Linked DNA regions of Drosophila melanogaster. Changing the gene in region 2 together with the main gene of any one other region gives a genetic interaction. Each region holds a gene or a part of one and is shown on either strand. Other genes may lie near its edges.

Region 1 (5,695 bases), on a different chromosome or scaffold from region 2:
CTGGCCAGGAATAGCAAATCCAAGCATTGGCAGCAAGAGGCAAAGCAAAGGTGCACGGCAGACATAGGCAGTACCACAAGAACACTATCACAGAATTAAGCAGAGCAAATTAAAGATGCATAGCGTGTATTAAGATGTACGAAATAATGTTCCAAAGTTAACCAGCCTACACAATCCCCAACAACACACACACACACACACATAAAGACGGTCGGAGTCGAATCCTTGATCGAACCACATAAGAAAAAATTCCAATGAGTTTGTATGAGCAACATACAAAGCCCCAAACGCAAACCATCAGCCACTCAAGACGAGACGAGAACGCAACCAAAACTCAAATATAACTTTCCTGCACTCATCTCCAGTTCACGAAACAATCTTCGCTCTTGGTGGATTGCGAATTGTAAATGAATTGAGTAACTGCACGGATGCAAAGCCCCAAGATGTGGCGACTATTCCGGCCGGACACTGTGAGACGGACGTTACACACACGGATATATAGAGAGACGAACCTTATGACAACAGACAGAAGACGCTTGCTCTGAATAGATGGTTAATTTGTAGACTTATAAGGAACGTCGACAGCGAGGGTTCGTTCGCGTCACTTGCTTTTTACTACATTATAAATAAATTATTGATGTACTACCAACAAACCAAGAACAAGAACACCACACTATACAAACACCTATATATTAGATAATATATATGAATGATGTATAAATACCCGAACTTCGGGTAAACTTCCAACAGAAACCCGACAAGAAGATGGCTGAATATGAAATAAACTTGAAATTTTCCAACCAGCATACCCGTGAGACCCAGAGGTCCGAAATTTTTTTTTTTTAGTATTGATAATCTCTAAACGTAAATCCTAGTCTCGTAGCAATATCATAGTTAAGGTGACTTTTTTTTCAGAATAAACTTAAAGCACGAAAGAAATACATGTATTTAAACCTTAAATCCTAAAGTTTATAATAAACGAACACAAATTGAATTCTTGAGTCTGCGAGCGAGATGGTGCGATGCAGCCTCAGCGAAAGAGAGCGAGAGAGATGATACAGATTTGAGGTACAGTCAGCACAGTACAGTGCGGATCAGAGCTTAAGTTGACGATATACTATTGTTGTAAATTGATGTTAGGCTAAGCAAATAAATAGTTAAAATGTTCAATTTTCGCTTAGCTGAATCCTGATCGTCGTAAAAACGCATTTACACGAACATTATATACTAGTCATTAAGCGGTTCTATTTGACAGGTGAAAACAAGAAGCTGTGGCAGCCTTTTACTACAGAAACTAAAAAAGAAAAATACAAAGCTTGACATATACACGCATATTTGTGAACAAACTGAATTTTACCATACATCTTTGAGAATTTTAGGACAGTATTCTTGATAATCTATATTGAATGTTGATCTACACTTAACGTTGCACAAAAGAGGTATCTTTCTGACCTTCTATGCGCGTGGAGTGGATCCAAAAAATCAACTTGGTGTAATAAATGTGTATTTAAATCACAAAACGGGCATCTTTTCCCTTTCAATTGGACATCAGAGAGTTTCGACAACGCACACCTACTAGTTTTTTTGCGAGCTTAACTATTTCAAATGTGGTTGAGTAAAGCCATTAATATTGCTTTTTATAAATTCAGCATAAGTGGCAAGATGGTTTTAAATTGCGCGCCACTGCGGAACTACCTGGCATCACTGGCCGCCACTTATCGATAGCCACTGGAAGGCGAGAGAGAGAGAGAAAGAGAGGGCGCGAATCAGCTGCTGGAACGAGTGTTGTTGGAAGGCAGTGTTGTTGGAAGTGGCAGCGCCTTCCAATGTCAATTAAATAAGCAAAACGCGAAGAAAACCCAAGCGTAAAGGAGAGTCTCGTTGCCGCGCTCGAATAGAAATCCAGGAAATCAGTATCAATTCAACCGCCCTTGACACATCCACAACCACTTTGACATCCGAATCCGTATCCGGGCGAGGTGGCACGGCTGGCAGGAAGAACGTAACGTGAGTGGCTGCTCTATTCTATTCTATTCTGTTGATTCAGCGGAGTACACTACGCAATAACCGATAACGACCTTACCACCGCTCCCCTCTCCGCGCCCATCCGCAGCGGAGCAGTGGAGCACCCCCAGTCCAACAAGGAGCTACCTGCTCGAGATGCCCCAGATGAGGGCTGCGGCCGCTGAGGCGGTGGCCGCCGGCAGCGCCAATGGCCAGCCGCTGGTCAAGATTGGGCACTACCTACTGGGCGCAACCCTGGGAACGGGAACCTTCGGCAAGGTGAAGATCGGCGAGCACCAGATCACACGCGTCAAGGTGGCCGTCAAGATACTCAATCGTCAGAAGATCAAAAGCCTGGACGTCGTGGGCAAGATCCGGCGTGAGATCCAGAACCTAAAGCTCTTCCGCCATCCGCACATCATCAAGTTGTACCAGGTGAGTTCATGGCTCCAAGCTTAGACTTTCTAAGTCCAAGCTTTCCAGGAAACTGGGTTACTGGTTTCCTCTTCCAATTACGCTGGCCAGCTACTAATAACAAACAATCAAGCCGCAGTTTAATAAACAAAAAGGCAGGATATGCCCGAAGGGGGAATAGCTTTTCTATAACAACATTTTGGAGGTTTGTTTATCTATAAAGTACACGGTCATGCCTAGTCATCCGAATTTTGTTGCGGAAGGCAAATGCATATCTAGAAACTGGGCCACTGGCTAGACATTCGCAACAGACATAGAAGCCCAACTTAAATGAGCAAAAAGTTTGGAAGGAAAGTTTATAAAAGGAATATGTACGGGGTCTGCTTTGGTTTTACAAGCACATTTTCCCTCGATTTTCGGATTGGATCAGTTACCAATTAGGTTAGGCAGGGCTTGGGGGAACCTAGGGACGGCTGCAGTCATCAGCTGATATAAACGTGCTTGCTAACCTTTCCGTAACTCTCCGAAGGTCATATCGACGCCGTCGGACATCTTCATGATCATGGAGTACGTGAGCGGCGGGGAGCTGTTCGACTATATTGTGAAGCACGGCAAGCTGCAGGAGCACCAAGCGCGCCGCTTTTTTCAGCAGATTATCTCTGGCGTGGACTATTGCCACCGGCACATGATCGTGCATCGAGACCTGAAGCCAGAGAACCTGCTGCTCGACCACAACATGCACGTGAAGATCGCCGACTTTGGGCTCTCGAACATGATGCTGGACGGCGAGTTCCTGCGCACCTCGTGCGGCTCGCCCAACTACGCGGCGCCCGAGGTGATTTCCGGCAAGCTGTACGCCGGTCCCGAGGTGGACATCTGGTCGTGCGGCGTCATCCTGTACGCCCTGCTGTGCGGGACGCTGCCCTTTGACGACGAGCATGTGCCTACGCTGTTTCGCAAGATCAAGTCGGGCATTTTCCCCATTCCCGAGTACCTCAACAAACAAGTGGTCAATCTGGTCTGTCAGATGCTGCAAGTGGACCCGCTCAAGCGGGCCAACATCGAGGAAATCAAGAAGCACGAGTGGTTCCAAAAGGACCTCCCGGCCTACCTCTTCCCCTCGTCCATCGAGCAGGACTCCAATGTGATCGACACCTACGCTGTGGCAGAGGTCTGCACCAAGTTCGGCGTCAAGGAGACCGAGGTGCACAACTCGCTGCTCAGCGGCGATCCGCACGATCAGCTGGCCATCGCTTACCATCTGATCATCGACAACAAACGCTTCGCCGACGACGCGGCCAACCAAATAAACGAGATCAACAACTTCTTTGTGGCCGGCTCTCCACCACCGCCGCCGCCTCCGCCCGTTCCCCAATCATCGATGGACCACCAAGCCCCTCTGGCCACCGTGACCGTTGGCGGAGGTACCTCAGCCAGCTCGGGCACCGCCACACCAGTGCCACCAGTGGCTGGAGGCACGCCTAGCAGCACCATACCCATTCGACCGCATCCGGAGCGGATTGCGCCGATGCGGGACCGTCAACTGGCCATGTCCGTGCAGACATCTGGCGGCGGAGCCTTCCCGGAGAAAACCGCACGTGGCGGCACTCCCATCAAGCGCGCCAAGTGGCATCTGGGCATCCGGTCGCAGAGCAAGCCCAACGACATAATGCTCGAGGTATACCGAGCGATGAAGGCACTCAGCTACGAGTGGAAGATCATCAATCCGTACCACGTTCGGGTGCGCAGGCAGAACGTGAAGACCGGCAAGTTCTCGAAGATGTCACTGCAGCTGTACCAGGTGGACGCCAAGAGCTATCTGCTCGACTTCAAGTCGCTGACCAACGACGAGGTCGAGCAGGGCGACGACGTCATCATGGAGAGCCTTACTCCGCCGCCGCTTAGCGTGTCCGGGGTGATGCCGCTGCAGCCGACCGGCCACCACACCATGGAGTTTTTCGAAATGTGCGCCGCCCTGATCATTCAACTGGCTCGCTAAGGATGAGGTGACCGCCATCGGCCGCAGCGGACCGGATGGGATCTTCTCGGCTGGCGATCCGCACTCGGACAGTCCTGAGGATTGACCATTACCCGGAAGACACAGTCCCACAAAGGAAAGCTGGGGGGAGTTTCGGGCTCCGCGGATCCCGGAGTCTGGCCTTAACCACATGACTAAGTTCTTGCATTCGTCCCAAACCCTTTTGATTTTAATCGGAAACCCAATGTGCAATTATCGGTAGCAGGATTTGGGAATAGATTTTAAAAATGGCCTGCTACTAGACGACGAACAAGAGCTTGGGACTCCGACTCCAGCTTTTCTTTGTGCGGCTGTGTAATCCACATAAAATGTTATTGAACTCGGACACCGCCAACCGCCGTTGCCGCTACGCTACCGTTACCCGCTTTGCCGTATCGATTTCCGCTTCCGGTTAGTCTAAGTCTGTAGGTTCCGCCCGGTCGGCGGGCTTCGATCCGTTTCTGTTCTGTTCTGTTTCTATTTCGATTTATGTTTATAAGCAAGTTGAGTTATTATCCAAACCGCATGTGCACGTGGATGTATTTGTATTATGCCTAACGAATTGTAATTGGAACCTCGTCTGGGGAAGCTGTCAGATAACAACCAGATGTGGACCAAGTTTTATGTATCTGTATCTGAACCAACCAAACAATAAAGCGATCCATTAATATTCTAAATCGATTGTGGACGAAGTGTGAATTAAGAGTAGCCATAATTAAAGTTAGTTTTATTGCATATTAAGGTATGTTGTGCACATTCTTTCAGCATCGATGATTGCAAATTCTGCCTCGGCATTGGGCTTCATATCGCAGTTCCAGTCTCCCGTTTCGTGTGTAAAATCATAGCATCCCTGATCTAATCCACCTGTGCATCGCATCGCCGCTCCAGCTCACTACTGCTTCTGCTGTTGCTTCCGCTTCAGTTTGTCGATTAGGGTCTCGATGCTGTTGGCGTCGACCAGACCAATGAACTTGTCCACTACGACGCCGTTCCTGAAGGCCAGAACAGCGGGCACGGCCTTCACCTCGAAGGTCTCGACGAGATCCAGGTTCGTCTCCACATCGATGACCGCCAGGTCGATCTCGTTCGAGTTCTCAAGCAGCTCGAGCATCTTGGGCGTGAGTATCTTACAGGGGTCGCACCACTCGGCGTGGAAGTTCACGATCACCGGGTTGTCGCTGTTGATCACCTGCGGAACAAGGCATAATACATAGGTGGTGGTTGAACAGACTTTAAAATTGGAGTGCTTTGCTCGGAACT
Region 2 (6,837 bases):
TAGCCGTTCGCACTTGCTTTGTTGCTTCTCCTGCAGGATCTTTAGGTCCTTAATGGTCTGGATGAAGGTATCGTGGAGGGCCACAGGATGAAAGTCCTCGCTGTTCTGGAGTTCATTGTTGGTGCGCCAAGTCAGACGCTCTATGAACTCGCCCACCTCAAAGGGTTCCTGTTGGTTATGATTAATAAATATAAGCCATAATCGGGCCTACGTGACCTTTGAGCCCACCTGTTCAAACTCCTCCATGTATTGGGATAGCATTTTAATGTATTATTAAGTTTTCGTATTTAAATGATCTGATTTAATAGGCGTTTCTTTTCTGCTTCTTCTTTCTATATTATTGTTGCTTCCGCTCAGCTGTTTCGTTTAAGGTTGCCACACTTCTCACTTTCTTTCAGCTGGCAATGTCGCTCGGTTTGTTTACGTTTTTGTTTGCTCTCTTAGCTAAAATTTAAATGTTTGGCGGTTGTTATATAACAAATAGTATGTTTACAATTAAATAAAATAAAACAATGCTTTTATGTTTGCTGATCTTAATCAAATGTTTATTATAATATGAATGCGCGTCTTACTTATTGCCTCGTATCAAAACCACTTTTTTACAACAAATTGCAATGTGCTAAACAAGTTAAAATTTCAAACATTAATATTTTTTATAACCTTTATAATTATTGCGTGGAGTCAGCGATTTATTAAACCTTAGTTACAGTTTTGAACTGAATATGAAAATATGAAGAACCAATAACTTTTTTTTGTAAATTTTCTGTGCGGGTTTTCCCAATAGACATTTGTTTAGCGAAGGAAAGCTAGTTCTTATTTGTTTTTACAAACTGCGTCTGCTGCTACTACTGCAGTTGATCCTGTTGCTGTTGCTGCAGGTGCAGGTGCGGATGCGGATGTGGGTGGGTGAGCGTGTGACCGATGCCGCCGGAGGTCGACGGCAAGTCCAAGGCGTGCGGCACGATGTTGATGGCACTGGCGGTGCTTGCCGAGGAGGCCAGATCCACGGCCGGCGGACGCACTTCGTCCTCGAACTGAGCGCCACCGGCCATGCTGTTCAGCACATCCGGAATAGTGGGCGTGTCCACTAGCTGGTGCAGGTTCTTCAGCTCCGTGGAGCGTAGGCTGGCGGATAAGCTCTCGCTCGAGGCCAGCGACGTGGATAGCGGTGAGTTGCGTTCAATGGATGAAGCTATGTCTGTGGGAGAATGCAATAGTAAGTATTCTTTAGCTGCGAAGCAGCTCTTGCACTCACCAGTTCTGTCCGTGTCCGGGGAACAGGTGTTATGACCTGTTGTTCCTTGCGGCTGCTGCATCATCATCATCAGCTTCTCCTCCATCTGCATAATTATCTTCTTTTGCACGTCATACTTCTTGTTCACGGACTGCAAGGACGACGATTTTTAAGGCTTATTACTCTTAATTGAAATGAAGTTACTGGTAAACACAGACTATTTCTTAAAAGTCCGAACTATTTCAGATAAGTATACGATTTTAAATATCAGCCCTACCTTAAACTTTTCTTCGTACTCATCCTTGACGGTGCTTAGAAGTCGCTTTTGCTCCGTCATGGCCTTCTCGCTGTTGGCTAGCTGGGCCTGCAGGTCGCTGATCTTGTGCTTCATGCTTTCCAGCTGTGATGTCTTCTCGTCCAGGCTGTGCCTCAGATCTTAATAAATAAACTGAATGATTAAACATCCGTATCATATAAACAATGAATAGGCACCCTTCAGTTCCAGGTTGCTGCTCTCTTGTAGCATCTGCAGTTCCTCGTCGCGGGCCCTGAAGTTATCGATCTCAGCCAGACGGTCGCGGCAACGCACTTGCACCTCACCCATGATAATAAACTCGGCCTCCAGTCGTGCCAGCTCCTGCTTGCACTGCAGCCCAATGTCCGCCTGCTGCTGGGTGTGTTGAAGCTCGGTTCCCAAACTGAAGACCTGACCTCGCAGAGACTCCAGTTCATAGTTCATCTCCTTGTGGCGCGCCAACTCGCTGGTGAGTCGCGTCTGCAGGTCATCGTTTGCCTGCCGCAGGCACTTCTTTTCCTCCAGTTCGTGCTGGTACTTAGCCCTCATTTCGCCCAGCTCCTCCTGGTGGATGTTCTGGCGCTCGTTGGCCAACCGAATGGCCTGATCCATTTTGTTTGCCAGATCCTTGTTCTTCGCATCGAAGTTCTTAAGCTGCTCCCTTAACCGATCCCGCTCCATTTCCAGGCTGCGCTTGTCCCTGCTTCGCCCCATGAGTCGTCGATTGCGCTCTGCGTGAATGGATCGACGGTAGCTTTCGTATTCCAGCTGTAGGCACATCAGTTGACCCTGCTCGGCGTCAAAGGACTCATTGGCCTTGATCGCATGCTTAATGTATTCGTCTAGAATATCTTGCGGGTACAGAAGGTTCCTTTCATAGTCGATTCTTTGCTCCTTGCACTCCAGCAGGAGTTCAATAAGCCAATTCTCGTACTGCGCTGGAGCACTGTCCAGTCCTTCCACCGTCTGGGTGGAGGCATGGGTGCAGCTTCTAGCCGTATCCTTGGGCGCCGAAATGGCCAGGTTCCGGCCGCTCCTCTGCAGGCGGCTGCCAGTCTTTTGCGTATTTCCATTCTCCCCTCTTTGTCTTTGGCTCGAACAATCGGCCTCGTCATCATTCTCCTCCAGATGCTGCTGCCGCATTCCGGAAAGGGCCGAGCAGGATTTGGTTCGTCGCATTGGGTTCTCTGCCTCAGTACTCCAACTTGCCTTCTTTGCCGCCGAACTTCTGCTGTCCGCACAGGAACCATTTCCACTGTAGCTTGCCATACGATTGCGGCGCTTCTTTGCCAGCTGGTGCATGGATCGGCTGGTGGGCATATGAAGTCCACCCACACTGCAGAGGTTCCTATCCGTCTCGTTGCACTCGCCACAAACTGCAGCGACCTCCTGCGTGACAGATGGATAGACGGAACCACCAACAAGGGATAAATCGGAGTTAATTTCTGGCAGGCTGCTTGGACAAGGTGTGTTTACAGATCGCTCCACGTTATGCCTGTCCTGGATGACCTGCGACAGGCGACGGTCATAGGCAGTTCCTCTGTTGACCTCCAGATATGAGTGGCTGCTCTCCTCCGCCTCGCGAGAGACATCCGGGAAACTGAACTGACTCTGCTGGTCCTTGCGCATGGGTGAAGAAGGCTGGCTTACGGCGAAGATAGCTCTCACAGCATGCGAATTGACCGCACGTCCCGGCTGCTTGATATCCCTCATATCCTTTAAGGGGGTGGTTTCCGGTGTGGCCTCCACAGCTGCTTCGGGCGGTGAGGAGCCAGTCATGCCAACCATAAGCTGAGAGTTCATAGCCGGTTGTAGTGGCAAAATAAACGATGTGGTGGGTGTAAGCGGTATGCCGCTACTGGTCGTGGCAATCTCGTTATGCGGACTCCAGATCGGACCCACATCATCACCCGAGGCAAACGAATCGAAGCGGGTGTAGACATTTCTCGATTGCTGAAACTCCCTCAGCTGATAGCTGTAGTCCGTATTCGAGGTATTTGAAGTCATGCGACTGTATCCTGGCGTCATGGGATACGCATAGCTGCCGTCTTCGTTGCTCGTCTCGGGCAAGAGGACGGGCAGCGATAGGTTGGCGCACTCCATAACCACGTCATGCGGCTCCATCTCCTTCCATCGCGTATTGTTTACCTCAGTCTCTGGCGTGGCCGTCACCAGCATGGGATGCACTCGCACAGTGTTCAACAGCGGCTTGATTGTATGCTGGAAGATGCCCCCGCCGTTGCCTCGCTTGATGAACTCCACTAAATAGGCAATAAAGCTGCACGGATACATGCCGTACAGGCGGTGAAATAGCATCTGTAGACCCAACTGCAGGTGGACGAGCTTCTCGTCCGGCAGTTTATTGCTATTCTGCAGCTTCCACGAGGCCAAATGCCCGAACACCTCAAACAGATCGTTAAGAAAGTTGGGCACAGAATTCGGTATGATCGGCAGCAGAGTAATTATGCACAACAGGGCGCTCATCAGCGGAACTATCTCCTTCTCGTGCTGTCAGAGAAATGGAAGTGATGCTGAACTCGGACAAAATTGTAAACACCCATAAACTCACCGTCATAAGCTTAAAAACACTTTTGATCAGCCGGTGTTTCTCGATCTTGTACAGCCAAGTAGGGTGATGGCGCACAATGAAGCAGAACACCTGGAGGCTCTGCACTCGGTGCTGCGACTGCTTTAGGCAGTCGTCCAGCTTGTCAAAGATGTACCCATCGTGAGGTGCCTGGGCTTTGACCAGTACCTCCAAAATGCGCTGAGATCCAGTTGTAAAGAAGTAGTCCAGCATGAACTTTACCACCCACTGCTCCTTGTCTGTGGGGAAATGGTATGTTGGAATAGGTGGCATATTAACTGAAACTGGCGAGGACTCACTCTGGGATAGCAACTCCACAAGCTTGCGCTTGGCCTCCTCGTTCTCCAGCGTCATGTTGGACTCCAGGTCACCAATGATCTTCTCAATCACCATGACGGCGGCTTTATTGGTTTCCTGTCGCTATGATTGATTTTTCCGCCCGCCCTCGGTCGACTGTTCCTGCTCCTGCTACTCCGCTCCTGGTCCTTCTACTCCACTCACTCGTCGTCGTGGTTGTCTTTTGCAGAGCTGCGTGTGCTTTTTCTCGTCTTGGTCGCTGTGAACTGGAGAACAAGGGTTGGCATTGAAATTCCCACTGCGTTCGATGCACTGCACTATTGTTTCGGTTGTGGAGTGCACATTTAAAATGCTTACCTCTGCTAAACTCATATTTTTTTACATGTTTGTCTTGAAAATGAAAAGGTTATTTTTTTGTGATATTCCTCTTGCGCTGTTATCGCCAGCCAATCGATGGTTTTGTCTGGCAACGCCGCTGGCGAATGTCCGGCAGCTTTGGCCGCAATCAAAACAACATCAGCTGTTTTGGCGCAACTTTTTGCCAATTCCGGTGCGAATGTTATAATCGATGTAAAATAATGCATTACTCAATAATCCGAAAACTGGTAACGGCGCCAAAGCTAGCCAACGTTCCCAAAAGGTAATTATGTGAATTAATATTATAAGGATTCATTCCAACGCTCTGAATTTCAGGAAATGGAAAAGCGTTGTGGGTTTGGAGGTGCACGCACAGATTGCCAGTGCGTCCAAACTGTTTTCCGGCAGTGGCACATCCTTTGGAGCACCACTTAACTCTTCGGTGGCGTATTTTGATGCCTCCATACCGGGAACATTGCCAGTGAGAATAGGTACTCTCACTTAAGACGCCATCATTACATTGTATCCTCTGCTTTTAGGTTCTCAACAGAAAATGTGTGGAATCCGGCATTAAGACATCACTTGCTTTGGGATGTCGGGTGAACGAAGTGTCCATGTTTGACCGCAAGCACTACTTCTATGCAGATTTGCCTGTAAGATTCAAATTTCAGTTTACACCACGCTAAGCCTTATAAGTAATAAACTTCTCCTCCCCAGAATGGCTACCAAATCACGCAGCAGCGCGCCGCTTTGGCCAATGATGGAAAAATGACTTTCCCCGTGATAACACCAGGCAAAAAAGTTTACTACAAGACCGCCAAACTACTGCAGTTGCAATTGGAACAGGATAGTGGTAAATCTCTGCACGATGATTATCTCAAAAGGAGCCTGGTTGACCTTAATCGTGCTGGACTTCCTCTAATGGAGCTGGTTTTTGCACCAGATTTAGAAACGGGCGAAGAAGCGGCATCGCTGGTCAAGGAATTAATACTGATACTAAGGCGTCTGCAGACATGCAGTTGTAAAATGGAAGGTGAGTCAAAAGGGATTTGTGTGCCTTTTTTTAAACCGAGTATTTTTTATTGTAGAGGGCGCCCTGCGTGTGGATGCCAACATATCCATTCACCAAGAAGGCGATCCCTTGGGAGTCCGCACCGAAGTAAAAAACATTGGCTCGGTTCGAAGCATTTCGCAAGCAATTACGTATGAAATTAATAGACAGCTAGAAACTGTGGCTAATGGCGGTGTAATTACAAATGAGACTCGCAACTGGGATGCGGAGAACCGGCGCACAGTGGCCATGCGTGACAAAGAGGTGCTGCAGGACTACAGATTCATGCCGGAGCCGAATCTACCACCCCTTCATGTAAACCTAAAGCCTGGATCAATGTCAACAGAGGATTTACTTTCAGTGGCTGCTCTAAGCGAGGAAATTCCAGAATTACCAGAGGACACCAGGCAACGTTTGGTGGAGCAGCACAACCTGAATGCGGAAACTGCCATCATTTTAGTGGTGCGTGCTCTGATCCTTTTTGAGTCAACAAAAAATTTGAAATTGCAACACTCCTCGATTTTATTTCAGAACGAACCTATTCTGCTGGATCATTTCTTGAGCATTACCCGTAGTTTAAGTGATTTGCCCAACAAAGTCATTTGCAATTTTCTTATAAACGATTTGTTGACCTATTGCAACAAATTGAACTTAGATGTGGAGGATTGGTAATAATAGGGAGTAACATACCTAATGAATTTTACTAATTTATTGTGTTCATCCTAATGTAGCTCCATTAAGGCTGATGATTTGAAAGATATATTAATGAGCTTGCATGCCGAGCTGATAAATCTCCAGGCAGCACGTCAGCTGGTTGATCTGCTTCATAATAACCCCAAAGCGAAAGTCAGTGAGGTAAGCTTCGCCTAATATTCCAAATTTATGAGATTACACACATTATCTTCCCATCACAGCTAATCGAACTGCACAGCCTGCAGCAAATCTGCAGTCCGGACGAGATCGAGAACCTGTGCCAGCTGGCTATCGCCAACCAGGCCAAGGCAGTCGAACAGTAC
Region 3 (3,824 bases), on a different chromosome or scaffold from region 2:
TCCATAAGATTCAGCTCCAGACGCGCCCGTACGCTCGAGTCCCTAGCGTCGTTGTATGAGGTAATGTGCCCTGACCTATCCTTAATTACAGTGTCGTATAAATTGTGCTCAACTCAATCATCCGCTTGGCGCACCTAGGCCACCCTAGTAGCCCTGTTAGATCTCTGCCTGAATACCCAAACATTGCTTAACACATTCGCTTTCTATGACTTTTCCGAACAGGACGACGACCTTGTCGCCACCGTCGAGGAGAGCAGCTTCGTCCAGCGCAAGTATGAGAAATACTTCGACATGGTCATCGTGAACGAGGACTTCGATGAGACGTTCCGCCAGGTGGTGGAAACGCTGGATCAGATGAGCCACGAGGAGCAGTGGGTGCCTGTCAACTGGATCTACTAGAATCCCATGACCCTTTGCAATTGCGCCTTTATGCATATTGAAGAATATATACTATAAAAATCGAATGCCTATCATCACAATTAAAGGGATAATTCCAGTAATTGAAGCTTAAACTCGCAACACAATACAAATTTAGCGAAGAGCATTTAAAACGCTAGCGATTTCAATATTTATTGTTGATTAGACGTGTTTTGCTTGAGGAATGTAATGCGTTTTATTAACTATGTTTATCTCAATTACTGTCATTTTCCTCTTTAAATATAAATCATGTATATATGCAATGTTTGTATAAGTTGAAATGCGCCCTCCGTTTACAATTCAGTTTTCCTTAAGTATAAGCCTAATTTTACGAAACGAATTCGTCCATTTTACCATCTCTTGTTTTATTTTTACAAATAATGAATGATGTCAACGCATATCTCTTCAGTTTATTATTTTAACGAATCTCCTCAGTACAACAACCTTCTGCCAATATTTTCGTGTAGTTTTTAGATTTGTTTGAATAAAATGTGTAAGTTTAACGAACTAGTTAAATGTATTGATGTGGAGTTAAACAAACGAAATACGAATAAATTTGGCTCAAAGAAATGGTGAATTTTGTTTACCTCTAGCTGGTCGCACCAAAATATATTTTATTTGCTGATCTTAAGAGTGTCTTAGAGTTTAAAGGCTGAATGCCAGGCATTTAGCAACTTCATTTGCAGGGACTTATTGGTAAATTCCCAGAGATTTCTCCACCACAGCGTGGGGCTGACGCATATGCTCGCTGTTCTCGGGCAAGTTCATGAAGTCCTCGAAGCCAATGGAATCACAGCGGCCAGTCAGGACATCGTCCATGAAGTTGCTGCAATATAAAGGAAAGAATTAATATAGAAGATAAGTAGTCATTGCTGGGTTTTCGGTAATAATGGTACTATGGGAATCACAGGTATACTTGGTATACACGTATGTATGTATGTACGTATATAGGTATCCATTATTAGGCAAGAAGTTTAGATTTTCTAGATTGTAGGATATCTCAGGTTTCTCCGGGATTCTTATAATGTGGAAACAGAAGATTTCTGAATGCTTCCGCCCTTGCAGAGATTCCTGTCCAGACTGAGAAGCTCCCAGACCGGGCTAGATGCTCACCTGGACGAAAGGAAGGGCAGGCGGCCCACCTGACGTGCGGCGAAGCGCTCCATGCCCATCTTGAGGGGCACGCCGAGGCCCTCGTGGTTGCGCAGCATCTGCATGTTGCGGTTGTACTGGTGCTCGTTGTAGTTCAGCTCCGAGTCGCGCAGCCGGTGGACGTGGGCCAGTTGGTTCAGGCAGTTGGCCTCGGTGGGCATTCCCACACGGCCGGTGGCGTTCAGCACGGACACCTCGGCGGGCTGGACTTTCAGTGATGGCTGATACTGTATTGCGAGGGGTTTTCGTTTCGTTAGCGGCTCTACTAAATGCACTCGGCGAGGTACTTACCATATTCGTAAGCGCTTTTAGAATAAAAATGCGGCGAATTATAATTGTTTCTTGAATGACAAACAAATTCCGTGCGAATTAGAGCTGGTACTTGTGTCGATGCCTACTCGATATCGACGATAATTGACAAGATAATCGAATAGAAAGCAACTTATCGACTAGAATAGAATCCAGTAGTGTAGAAACCAGACTGGCAACTCTTTACATGTGTAGAAATCAGGATGGCAGCTCCAGACAATGCTAACATGGATTCAATCCATTTTGACCCACATAAATTTTAGCTCGGTTTCAAACCATTGCAGGGTACAAAAATGCGGCATGTCCGACAAGTGAATTTCGATTTGAAATTATGAACTCCAAATTTTCCAATCCAATTTGATTATTTAAACAAAATATTTCTATATATATAGCAACAACGCAGCACTATTTGAAATACACTTTAATTGTAATCGTGTTGATGGGTAAAAGTCGGTCTATGCAAATTGGCGTTATTAGCGCACTTAACACTTCGGTCAAGTGACGAACTTGAGTGTTGTGATTAATTACACCCTCGCTGGCCAGCAACGCACATCCGAAATATACAAACGTATCGATCTCGGCCGCAGCTCTAATCAATTCGATCAACAAAAGAACTGAATCCGCTGGCTGGCTGGCCGGGGTTTTGTTTTTCTTTTCACCCACACCTTTTAGCGGCTTTTATGATCTTCTGCTCCACAGAGACGCGATTCATTTGCATCGAGTGACAAACGCGAACGAATGCGAATGCGAGGAGACCAAATCACACGACAGGGCTTAATTAGTGCATGGTCACTAATAAAGATTCGGCCAGTGGATGTTGTGTTAATCAAACTCCCGCACACAATAGCCCAAACTGTCTCCGGCCAACCGATCCGATCCTATCCAATCTGAACTTGAAAATCCAAATGGAAACATCAACCGGATGGATGGATCTTCACCTTCACTTTAGACTAAAAGGTAGTACGTAAATTATGATTTATGCCCATTTACTGAATTTTACAGTGCGAAAAAAGCGAACTACATTCCTGCTTTGTAATTTACAACTTTAATCATTTTAATATTGGTATGGATGAGCATTGCAATACAAAGTCAAATAGTTTATAGCATGTATAGCTATAGTATTGATACAAAAACGTATTAGATAATTTAAAAGATCAGCCCTATTTTTAATGAATGAATTCTATATTAAGAAACTGACAAAATGATAAGTAAATTTAATCAGCAGACAATTCGAGAATTTACAATAAGAATATCGCAACGGGCATATTTATGGCGTCGAGTTGATAAAAATATCGTTAGTTTTTATTACTTTGAGATGCGATTCTTTCGGATGCAACTTATGGTGATTTAATCTATAAGTCTATAAATAAATTAAGTTAGAATAAACACAAATTACTCGCATCGATTTTAGCTTACTAGCATCGTTCCTTTGACTTATTTGTTAATACAATCATTTCAGTTCCCTGTGAATTTTGCCGCTTGAAGAGTTCAAAAGAACTCATACCACGATTGATTTATAACGTTTACTTTCTGTTTTACTGCCTTTGACCAATTAATACACAGTAGACCAGTACGAGGCGAATCAACCAATTCAGTCAGTCCAATATATGGCCATAAGGATGGCCAAGAGCCAACTATGTATGGTCGAATGGAGATGGAGATCTCAGGGCGAGAAGATCGATATGTAAAAGTCAAATAAAAATATAACGTCGAGAATTAACATTTTTTCACAGCAATAAATGCATAAAAGTCGAAGATGTGTATTCAAAAAAGAGAAGAGTCGTGGGTTCAACTAGGGGACTCTTCAGATGAGGGAATTCCTTTTAAAACAGCTTGATTGGGCTGATATTTCTCTTCTATTTTATACGCACTCAGAGAAATTAATGGGTAAAAGCAAGAGATTCCAAAAGATGATCAATAGATGATTTCTTTAAATTGAAGTACAA

Evidence for each region. A genetic interaction does not mean that the proteins touch.
Region 1: changes in Tsc1 (region 2) and AMPKalpha are lethal when combined (synthetic lethality), as found in Drosophila melanogaster (one study listed by BioGRID).
Region 3: changes in Tsc1 (region 2) and Pomp are lethal when combined (synthetic lethality), as found in Drosophila melanogaster (one study listed by BioGRID).

The regions. Positions count from the first base shown.
Region 1 is NC_004354.4:1,373,749-1,379,443, forward strand, and holds AMPKalpha (AMP-activated protein kinase alpha subunit), read left to right. Parts: upstream 1-1,787; 5' UTR 1,788-2,007; exon of another isoform or gene 2,008-2,121; 5' UTR 2,122-2,160; coding exon 2,161-2,439; intron 2,440-2,947; coding exon 2,948-4,417; 3' UTR 4,418-5,148; downstream 5,149-5,695. Other genes in the region: CG3719 (uncharacterized protein), read right to left, coding at 5,328-5,624.
Region 2 is NT_033777.3:24,128,338-24,135,174, reverse strand, and holds Tsc1 (Tsc1), read right to left. Parts: upstream 4,869-6,837; 5' UTR 4,771-4,868; intron 4,680-4,770; 5' UTR 4,510-4,679; coding exon 4,416-4,509; intron 4,356-4,415; coding exon 4,099-4,355; intron 4,038-4,098; coding exon 1,727-4,037; intron 1,670-1,726; coding exon 1,512-1,669; intron 1,386-1,511; coding exon 1,256-1,385; intron 1,199-1,255; coding exon 846-1,198; 3' UTR 521-845; downstream 1-520. Other genes in the region: Sec10 (secretory 10), read right to left, coding at 1-168, 229-261; GatB (Glutamyl-tRNA amidotransferase, subunit B), read left to right, coding at 4,992-5,053, 5,107-5,251, 5,310-5,423, 5,488-5,803, 5,859-6,283, 6,353-6,489, 6,553-6,676, 6,736-6,837.
Region 3 is NT_033779.5:20,785,822-20,789,645, reverse strand, and holds Pomp (pomp), read right to left. Parts: upstream 1,991-3,824; 5' UTR 1,864-1,990; coding exon 1,861-1,863; intron 1,797-1,860; coding exon 1,531-1,796; intron 1,244-1,530; coding exon 1,108-1,243; 3' UTR 548-1,107; downstream 1-547. Other genes in the region: vari (varicose), read left to right, coding at 1-60, 223-399.